Caenorhabditis elegans: one gene and its partner. The protein of the gene in region 2 purifies or fractionates together with the protein of the main gene of each other region. This does not show direct contact. Each region holds a gene or a part of one and is shown on either strand. Other genes may lie near its edges.

What was found.
Region 1: the proteins of mec-19 (region 2) and mec-4 purify together in Caenorhabditis elegans (affinity purification with western blotting, with the first as the bait; one study listed by BioGRID). This does not show direct contact.

What each region holds. Positions count from the first base shown.
Region 1 is NC_003284.9:16,802,545-16,809,069, forward strand, and holds mec-4 (Degenerin mec-4), read right to left. Parts: upstream 4,572-6,525; 5' UTR 4,571-4,571; coding exon 4,388-4,570; intron 4,028-4,387; coding exon 3,772-4,027; intron 3,725-3,771; coding exon 3,362-3,724; intron 3,310-3,361; coding exon 3,198-3,309; intron 2,982-3,197; coding exon 2,821-2,981; intron 2,724-2,820; coding exon 2,575-2,723; intron 2,528-2,574; coding exon 2,370-2,527; intron 2,328-2,369; coding exon 2,239-2,327; intron 2,146-2,238; coding exon 1,973-2,145; intron 1,922-1,972; coding exon 1,826-1,921; intron 1,703-1,825; coding exon 1,588-1,702; intron 1,544-1,587; coding exon 1,483-1,543; intron 1,426-1,482; coding exon 1,297-1,425; intron 1,249-1,296; coding exon 1,173-1,248; intron 1,034-1,172; coding exon 848-1,033; 3' UTR 777-847; downstream 1-776. Other genes in the region: aak-2 (5'-AMP-activated protein kinase catalytic subunit alpha-2), read left to right, coding at 1-21, 205-306; cas-1 (C-CAP/cofactor C-like domain-containing protein), read right to left, coding at 5,133-5,213, 5,259-5,405, 5,617-5,823, 5,888-6,466.
Region 2 is NC_003279.8:12,562,581-12,566,463, reverse strand, and holds mec-19 (uncharacterized protein), read right to left. Parts: upstream 2,109-3,883; 5' UTR 1,943-2,108; coding exon 1,820-1,942; intron 1,009-1,819; coding exon 773-1,008; intron 690-772; coding exon 659-689; 3' UTR 569-658; downstream 1-568. Other genes in the region: Mitogen-activated protein kinase kinase kinase dlk-1, read left to right, coding at 246-335; C49G9.2 (uncharacterized protein), read right to left, coding at 2,307-2,388, 2,432-2,568, 3,415-3,495.

The DNA of each region.
Region 1 (6,525 bases), on a different chromosome or scaffold from region 2:
CATGATTTTTCGGACATGTCGGTGAGAATTAATATTTTTCTTTTATTTCAATATTTTTATTGTGAAGTATTACAAATAACTGGAATTGTATTTGGAGTGGTTGATATAGTTATAGGTTTTTTAAAAATCTTCGAGTGACAAGAAGTTGATGCCACTACCTTTAAATAATTAACGCACTAATTTTCAATGACCGAGTATTTTCAGTGCGATGTGACACCACCACCATCTCCTGGAGGAGCTAAGCTTTCCCAGACTATGCAATTCTTTGAGATTTGCGCCGCATTGATTGGAACACTGGCTCGTTAAGCACTCCTTGATGCCAACAATGCTCTGTGTAAAATTCAACTTTTCTGTCTCAAAATTTATTTCTTCCATTCCTTGTATTAAGCTTGAAACCCCCGTTTCTTATATTGGTTCACTTTGTTGCAGCTTACAGTATCTTTGTATTTTTTTTCTTGACTCTGTTTGGTTTTGCCCCTCCCCCCTTCACCTCCGTAAATGCCACGTATTTTAATTGATGCTATTCTAGTGCCGCTTTCATTTTCAGCCAATTTTGACAAGTAACCATACAAATAATTATTTAAAGTTATGACTTGACTTGTCACCCCCTTTGTTTCTGTGAATAGATTTTCCTTCAGCGAGTGATTGTTTCTGTTTTTTATATGTTTCTCTTCAGTAGTTTTTTTTTCTGTCTTTTAAACTCCCCTTCTCCTACTTCTTTGTGTCTATTGTAAGTAAAATATTAATTGAATAATTTCCTACCCAAAATTATTCAATTATTCTCATGTAAATTTTTATTTTAAGACACAACATTGCAATGGTAACTTTAAAACAAGAAAAAACAAATTCAGAAAGATCCAGACGCAATTTTCTTTGCCTTCTCAGCCTTCTTCTTTTTGTACAGAGAGTAGTTATGTTCGGCACTCATGTAGGCAGTTTCCAAGAAAAGGAACACAAATTCGCAACAGGTAAGGAAGGATATTCCGCACCAAAGACCGAGTTGTCCACCAAAATCGGCTAGCAAGTTGACAAACTAGAAATAGTTGAGATAAATTTTTTGGAATAAAAATAAATTTTTTTTTGCCTGCTCGCTAGTAGTAATTCGGCATTTTTTCGAATTTTTTTGATACATTTCTTTGATACACGTTCTTTGCCTAAATTTTTCAACTCACCCCATAAGCCTCTGATTCAGTGAGCATTTCAAAATTCAACTGCTCGTAGAACACTTCCACCATTGCTCCGTTCTCTCTCAAATAGGCCCAATTTTAAAGTGTGTTTTTTCTTGAATTAACTTACTTATAATGCTTATTACACTCTACCGCTGTACCATTACACGATCCTAGTTGAATTTGCAAAGATAACGACGGCCACTTTGCCGGCGAGTATGTAACGGAGTAGATTGACTGGCGGCATGGTTGTTGGCATCTTAAAATTGAAATTGCAGTTTTTTATTTAAAAAGTATATAACAATTCAAAAGTTACCTGCAACGGAAAGATCCGTGTAGGCCTCCCAAGTCATTCATTCTGGCGTCAAGACATTTTCCTGCAGAAAAAAATATTTATGGAGATGTCAAATTTGAAACTAACTTGCAATAGGGTCTGCTGCATCGCAATGCCGTGCATTTTCAGGGACTGGGAAACGTGGATCTCCACATCTGCACTCTTTCAGCACGAGTTGTTGGAAGCAAGAACGGTAGCAGCCCTGGAATAGTTCCCTCTGTTATCATATTAAGTTCTATATTTAATTGCTATTTTAACAAGAATCACAAAGTTTCTATGACCCATTTTTCCTACTAAACTTGCTTAAATTCTGTTTACTATTCACCTCTACCGAATATTCATAATTGCTGTAAATATAGTCCGATGTTTTGCCATCTGGCACACAATCTCCATAAGGTGCTGGCAAACGTGACATCTTTCGCTGAAAACAACAACACCATTACTCTATAAAAAGAGTTTGAATTTCTAATACCAATCGTAATCCAAATGAGGATACATATCCAGTTGGAGCAGAATAACCGAACGTATCAGGAAATGGGAAATCTTCTTTGTCATGAATAGTCAAACGAACGCCTGTGGCTTCCGTGGTTGGCATATAGTCAGACGCGTTTACATAAACCAGCATACGTAATCCGTACATGGGACCTGGAATCGGAACACGTTTTTTGGTTTATACATAACGGACTTCAAAAATTATTTTAGAAAAAAATATGTGGAAAAAATTTTGAGGAAACTAACCTGCTCGAATACTAGTCAAGTTTACTGTTCGATTATGATTGAAGGTAAAGCACGAACCAAACGCAGGGTCAATATGAGTCAGAAAATCTCTGAATAATTGAATTTATATCATATCTGAAAGCCTAACTAACGCTTCGATATCACACGCTTTTCCGTTAAACGAGCACTTGTGGACAAGTTCCCTTTTTGTAGTACTTAGCCGTTCCCTATCTTGCATTGACAAGGTAGCCATTGCAAACATGATGTTTTCCTTGGCTTTAGTGACAATTGCAACTTCATCTGTCATTCCCTGAAACTTTTCAGTTTCCACTTGATTTATATATTTGTGATTGTTACCTGAAATCCCATAGCTTCAAGGAAGTTTGGATCTTCAGTTGGAGTTCCTCCTTGAAGATATGTCCAAATTTCAATTGGTGGCGTCTTTCCGTTGTATGCTACACAGAATCTAGATGGAGCACAAATACATGGGGATCTATGGCCCTTCGCTGAAAAATTCCGATTTAGAAAAAAACAACAATAAAAATTAAGAAGAGTAAAATCAAACAAGTGAAGCTAGTTTGGCAAAGTGATTGAAAAACCTACCAGTTTTGTTATCTTTGGTGCAGAAAGCATGTTCATTGCAAGTATCACATTCGGTGGTTTCCCAGGTTCCGTTCAGAAAACAGGGCCACGCATCATGAGTTGATCTATCGAAAGCGCAAATACACCGATCGTCAAATCCCGTCGGCTCGTCGAATTTTGTTCTGAACGAGAAAAAAGATTTGTGGAGAACATTTCGAAACGTCTCATTATGAACTTCTGTATTTTGGAACCATATGAATTTCAAATTTATGGAAGGCAAAATTGAGCCTTCTCAAAAATTGGACTTATCAAAATGGACAAACTTTACCGTACCTCAAAATTGTAAGACTAGACTTTTTCAAACACTTTTTTGTCAAAGTTGTTAGACTAGACTTTACCTCTCTGATTGACATTCTTCCATCATATTCATTCCAGTAGTTGCTTCCACATCGTAATTCTCATAATGCTCATTGTCATATTCTTCCATTCCATCCCATTCCTCATCGGCATCTGTGTTCAAAAGAATGTTTTACGCGATGCTCATTTGACATGCAACACTCACCATTAATATTAAATACCTTTTTGGTAGTTGTTTCAAGTAACTCTTCCTCCTTCTCCTCATCCTTATCCTCTTGCTCACTAGACCCTTGGCTTCCACAAAGGCATCTTGCAAATCCTGGCTCAAAAAATGCTCCAGATAAATCACGTTTTCCTCGACGACGTGCCGGTTTTGTGGTGGGTGCAGGGGTGGTGGGTGGTTCGGTGACAACTTCGCGTTCCTCTTCGTGATCTTTGTTTCCTCCGGCTTTTCCCATTGCTCCATCAAATGCTGACAACGTTCGCTTTACTAAATCCACGCTTGTTGCTAAACTTGCTTTGTAAGGATTCAAATTACAAAGCGTAATTGCTGGAAAAGGTGCAGTGTCTGGAAATAAAAAAGCTCAGTAAGGAGCACATGATTTTTCAAACTACCAAATTTCAATTGAATATCGACAATTTTCTCATTCCTGTTGTATTTGTCAAGCACAGATTGAGCATTAAGATAGAGCATTATCATACATCCAAGAAAAAGTACGACCCAAACTGCTCGATAATATACGTTTGGAGCTTCACCAATCATGGGAATTCCGTGAGCAGATGTTTTGTAGCAAAACTCTTTGAAATGCCAGGCTAGACGTTTGTCATAGGGTAGCAATTTTGGATCGAATTCTCCCGTAATAAGTTCACACTGAAATTCGGAAATGTTAGATTACTCAGCTGCGACTTTTTGCAAGTTTTATTTTTTTTACCGTTTATTGAACATTTTAAGCGTTTTGATTATATTGTTCCAAAACAAAAAATCTTGGTTTTTAATTTTGGTACAGTTTTGCAGATAAGCTATCAAAGTAAAATAAACAAGTTGATTCAGCAAAAACTTAGTAGTTATAAAGACAAAATACTTATCGAAGAATTAAGAAAATACGGGCCTTCAAATTTACAGTTGAAAAACTTCAATGTATATAACGAATATTTCAAAAACTGGGAACAAAATACAATTGCATACAAAAATAAAATTTACCGTTGCAATTTGAAAATTACGTAAACTCACTTGTACTTCTGATTCTGTAGAGTTGAAACATTCGCCATAACCAAAATCTTCATAATATTCTCTTTCTGTCACAAATTTAGTCGTCTCTTGTAAGTACGCTAACGGGTCTCCATAAACCTGGGACATGTACTCGGATGGGTCCCGAAGGTGTTGGTAGTTTTTCAGGTTTTGCATCCATGACATTCTATAACTTGATAGCGATAAAAAAAATAGCATTAGCAAACTGATACTCTAAGAAAAATGAAGGAGGGGTAGTCGCTGACGACAATGATCTTGCTCATGTCTTCACATGGTTCCATTACATTATAAATGTATAGAATAGTAGATTGTTTCATACTTGTAGAATGAGAAGAAAGCTGATGGTTTTGAGGCAAGATAAGATCCATGAAAGTGTGTTGAAATGTGCCTGGTGTTTGAGATGTTCTGGTGAGGGTGGAAATGTATTTGAACATTCTGGAATTTTTTTTACACTACATTCGGTGCAATTGTTCTACGATCACAAACCTTCAAACATGAATAACTATTTTTTGGAAGGGATCACTTTTATTCGACGAGACAGTAAAAAGTAATTTTTTCAATAAAAATAGTTGAGCACCAGTCAATGCATATACAAAACAAAATCGGTATTATTTAATAAAGCAAAGTGTGTCTCAATTGCTTATAAAGAATTGTAGACAGGGACAAATAAAAAAGTTCGAGGGGATAGTTCATGAAGTTGAAAAATAAGGTTATGACGTGAGAAGATTTAGCAAATGTCCGAGACGACAGTGACTAGCTTGCCATTGACAAAAGTTGTCTTGAACTGCTCCGGAACCGGGAACTCCGACTGAAAAGGAAATTTAGATTGGGTTCTACAATCCGAAAAACTTACATAATCCCCATCATCATTGGTTTGCACGGAGATGTTCATCTCACTGGATTTGGAAGTGACAATCTCGCATCCTTGAGCCACCTTTGACAAGTACACCTGGCATCCATCAGTCTTCTGGATTGAAAGAGTTGGGAGCTCTCCAAGGGTCTAAAAATTAATAACAATAATAGATTCAGTGAATTTCGAAGCATATAGTTGACTGAACTTTATTAGTAATTTGGAAGATTTTAACGATTAAAACCAAATATTTATTTTCACATTTTTTATTTAGAAACTAATTTTATGTTCAGACGGAAAAAAAATAGTATTGTATTTGAGCTTGTATTGAAGCTTGTACAACTAAAAGTCTTCTGATTACCTGAATTTGCACAGATTGGCAGTTGACAGTTTCGCACTGAGCCACAAGGGCATCAAACACAACAGACGTTTTCTTGCACCCGTCCAAAGTAATAGAATTGGCCTTTCCGTTGACCTTAATCACAGAATTCTCACAACGGTAGATATAGACAGTCTGCTTCTTATCGGCAACATCGAGAACAATGTTTGGATCGTTGACAAAGTACTCCTGTAAATAGTTTTTCATTGATAATGCTTATTGAATATGTTTTTCAAGTTGTTGAAACACTTACCACAATCCATTGTTTTCCGTTTTCCAGCTCCTTGTGTGGTGGCTTCCTTACTGGAGCAGCTGGTTTGGCAGGAGATGAGCCGCCCTGAGAAGCACCAGCGGCTGGCACAACAGCGGTTCCTCGGAGGTTTGGGTTCTTGTGAGTCTGCATATCGGCCGTGACCTTCTTCAGTCTAGAAGTAACTCCCTCTCCCTGGTTCAACGAAGCAAAGAGAGCATCACGGCTTGCCTTGTCAGCATCTACTGGTGGCGGAGCAATGTTGGCGAAGAAGTCGGCTGGTGGTGGTGGAGGTGGTGGGGGTGGTCCTCCTGGACCTGCTGGAGCTTTTGGAGCTGATGGAGCAGCGGCAGATGGAGCAGAGGCAGAAGCATCAGGGGCGGCTCCTGGAGCGCTGTTCCAGACTAGACCAGTAGTGTGAACTTGACGAACAAACTTCTGCATCTCTTCAAATACAGCCTTCCAAGCCTTGGTCCACTCAACGTGTCTTGGATCGGTCTCCTTGAACTCGCGGAGAATTGGGTTGATGTAGAATTGAGCAGCCTCAATGAACTCCTTCACGTATGGAGCTGGGGTTTTCTTCTGAAATTAGAAGCAGTTTAGAAAATATGTATGTTAAGATTATCGAATCTTGAGCACAG
Region 2 (3,883 bases):
CTAAATTGATTCAAAACTCACAAGTTTTTTTTACACTTTTCGTTAAAATTTCGCAATACTTCTTGACAAGCCAAGAAGTGGGTGGAGCCTAACCCTATTATTGGCGGAACCTAGGCATGATTATACTTAAATCAAAGCTCTTTGCATGCCGAATTCAAATTTTTTAGTGAAAATTATCTGAAATCCAGTTTCCAACAAAATTGTTGGCTGAAAACTAAAAATTTATTAATTTTCCAAAATTCCAGAATCCACAAGCCCTAATCCACCAATGCATCGACGAATACACCACCTCTGCAACAGATGATAGTGACGATGCCGGAGCAGTCCGAATTTAAACCCCGCCCACCAATATTTGTAGTTTTTGTAGTATCCCTTCCTCCACATCTCAATTTGTTCATTCATTCCAGAGCTATTTTTGCCATTTTCAAAGTACTTACAGTAGTCCCTATGTCCCTGTAAACTCTAGTTTTGTAGAACGAATCCCAGTGAACACCGGTTCCTATTTTTGAATATTTTTTGAATATTTTTGAGTAAGAAAATACATATAATTTTTGTGTAAAAATACATATATCGATTATTTTTGTTTATTAGTATTATTATTTTAATATAAAACAATTTTGAAATAATTAAAACAAACAAAAAAAAATCAATAAACCTATTATATTTGGGCTTCTTCGTCGTTGTTGAATCTGAAAAAAAAATTTTGGAAAAAAAAAATTTGGATTTTTTTTCTAAAATAAATAATAAAAAATTTTTAACTTTAAATGTTTACCTCAAGGTACAATAAGCAGGAGGCATATATTGATCGTTTTCTGCGTATTCTGGTGGATTTTCCAACACAATCACTACAGGTAACATTGGCGGCGGAGCCTCTGAGATTTGTGGTAGTTCTGGACCATTCGGCACCTCTTGCGCCGCTTCTGATGTTGGCTTGGGCTCACGGAGCAATTGTTTTTGTTTTTTACACAAGCAGGCTTTTAGGCAGCCTATGAGAGCTGTGGCGATAACCTGGAAATTTTTGTTTGGGGAATTTGTTAATTCCACAAAAAATATTCGAAATTTATATTTCAAAATATATCTTTAGATTTTTAAAACTCCTCGGTTATTGATTTAATTTTCATGAAATTATCAAATCCTTATTTATCTCAGTATTAGCTTTGGTTTAAGTATAATCATGACTAGGATCCGTCAGCTTTGAAAATTGAGCTGGAGCCAATAAGTGGGCGGAACCTAACCTGCGATGGGCGGAGTCAAAACAAGAGGGAAATCAAATCAAAACATTTAAAATGGAATAAACACTTTTCAAGGTGAAAATGAGAATTTTATAACCTACAAAAAAAGGGCGGAGTCTAACCCAGAATTGGGCGAGCCTGGGAATTTACAAACCTAAAAAAAACTTAAAAATTTATTTTTTGGCAATCAAGAATATTGCATTGCTTTTGTTAAAATGAGCGCAGTCTTTGCCATAAATCGTGGCAGGACCAAAAGTGGGCGGAGCTGAAATTGAAAGTGGGCGGAGCCTAATAAGGAAGCTTAAAAATTCAGAACTGTTGATTTTTCGTGTTGACAATTTCCTGGAATTGGGCGGGTGTTATGGCTTAAAATGGGCGGAGCATAAACTCAAAAGGGGCGGAGCCTGGTCATGATTATACCTAAATTAAAGCTCTTGGTTTGCTGAACTCGGATTTAATACTTTTAAAGTTGAGAAATTTTTTTATAAAAAGTTATTGTTTTTTTTAAATAATTTCAACTTTTTAAATTAAAAAAAAATACTTTTTTGTTTCAAAAATCGATTTTTAAATGAAAAAACCCAACTCACCATAACCACTAACATAACCATTGCACCGTCCATCAAATCACAAAACCATCCCTCACATCCAAACCCGGAACTCGAGCCCTTTCGCCGATTGGAGTTTATCAGCAGACCGCTGCCCCCACCCATAAAATTCTGTAATTTTGCGGAATTTTTTGGGATTTTGCCCCAAATTTTTTGAAAAAAAGTAGCATGCAAAACAGACGAAAAATTCTTTTTAAAAAAAGTTTTTTAGAAATTTAAAAATTGGCTGAAAATTGAGCCCAGAAAGCTCAAAAAATGCTCAAAGTATTCCAGAAAAAAAATCGATTTTTTCAGAATTTTCCGCAGAAAAAAGAGGTTGAAAAACGTAAGTTGTCTCTACAACTCTGAGCAGCGATCCCAAAAAAAAGGAAACATTGCTCAAAAATTAATGGAAAAGCTTCTGTGGTCGCTCATGTTAGAGGGAGGGGGTGTTGAGAGACACAGAGAAGGCAGAGAGAATCACTTTTTATTATTTTTTTGAAACATTTTTTGAATTTAGTTTTGTTGATAGCACACGACAGCATTTGCATGTGTTCGGCTTTTTGTCGAATCTAAAATTTTTTTTGAAAACTTTCAATGTTTTAAAAACCTTACTTTAATGATGAATAAGCTGGTGGTCTTTGTGTTTCTTGACTTTCAATATCTTCAGAATTCCCTGAATCCCCGGAGCTCTCAGTGGGCTTCGCCGACAGTGTGGAGGACTTGAAGCATCCGTAGAAGAAGAGAATAATCTGGAATTTGAAATTTTCAGTCAAATTTTGAGTTGAGCTCAAAAATTTTAAGTTTTTTGAACTCGGGAAACTGAGAGATTTCAACAAAAAAGTATAATCATGACAAAGACATGTTTTACGAAATTTGAAGTTTATCGAAAAAAAGATTTTTCGGTCTCGACACGAAAATGGGTCGGAGCCTATTCTTTTCCTTTTTTTTCGTTTTTTCTATACTCAGAACATTAAAATTTTTAGATCTGAAATCATATTTTAAAATTTTGAAATTAAAAAGAAACCTTTTCCAGAGCTTTTTTCCCAAATTCTGAAAATGGGTCCGAAAGGGGCGGAGACTAATCTGATGTGGGCGGAGCCTAACCTGAATTTTACCCAAATTTGAAGCTTTTGCGGCCTTAATGAAATATTACTATTTTGAAGTTGAAATAATGGGTTTTTTAAAAATAACTTTTGAGCATTTTCCATCAAAAACTTAAAGAGGTCTGAAAGGGGCGGAGCCAAATATTGATTTTATTCAATTCACTTTTTTTTCAGACACTTGAAAAAAATTTTCGTCTATTGAAGTTCGAAAATTAACAGTTTCGCAGCTTTTTTAGTTTTGTAGTTTTCTCAAAAACTTTAAAAAATGGGGTCTGAAAGGGGCGGAGCCTAAGCCGGTGCGGGCGGAGTCTAGTTACTCTACTGAAATGAGAGCTCTCAAAAATTATAAAAAATTTTGTAAGTTATTGAAAAAAAAACATTTTAAACTTATAGGAATTAATATATGAATTTTCCAGGTTTTCATTGATTTTTCTCAGAATTTAAGGATTCGGTGTTTGCGTACTTTCCGTGCTACCGTACCCAAACACTCACCGTACAAAAGCTGCCAACCACAACACCAAGGAAGAATATGCCGAACTGTTTAATTTGGAGCCATCCTTCGAATTGTTGCATTTCCAATTTACCAAAAAAATAGTAGAGAAAGAAAATATGGCCTCCTTCTTGCTTTTGGCTTGTGATGGTCTAGTTATTTAGGGTCGATTAGTGTATGAAAATCGAAAGTTTTTTCTTTGGCTGTACAGCAGTGACGACTTGGAGAGAGAGGCAGCAGAATGGTCATCATCACTGGTGATGAGAAACAAGGAATTGGTCAAAAACGAGAATGACGTTATTTGATCTTCATGCGTTATGGTCTTGTTACGTTTTCGGATGGAACGTCGTGAGAAAATCATGTGTGTCGAAGCTGGGAGATTCAGGGGATCTGGAGATCAGGGACCCCACAGGGTTTTACTAGAAGAGATTTCAAGTCTCCCAAATTAATAGGGTTCAAGGTCAGAACTGA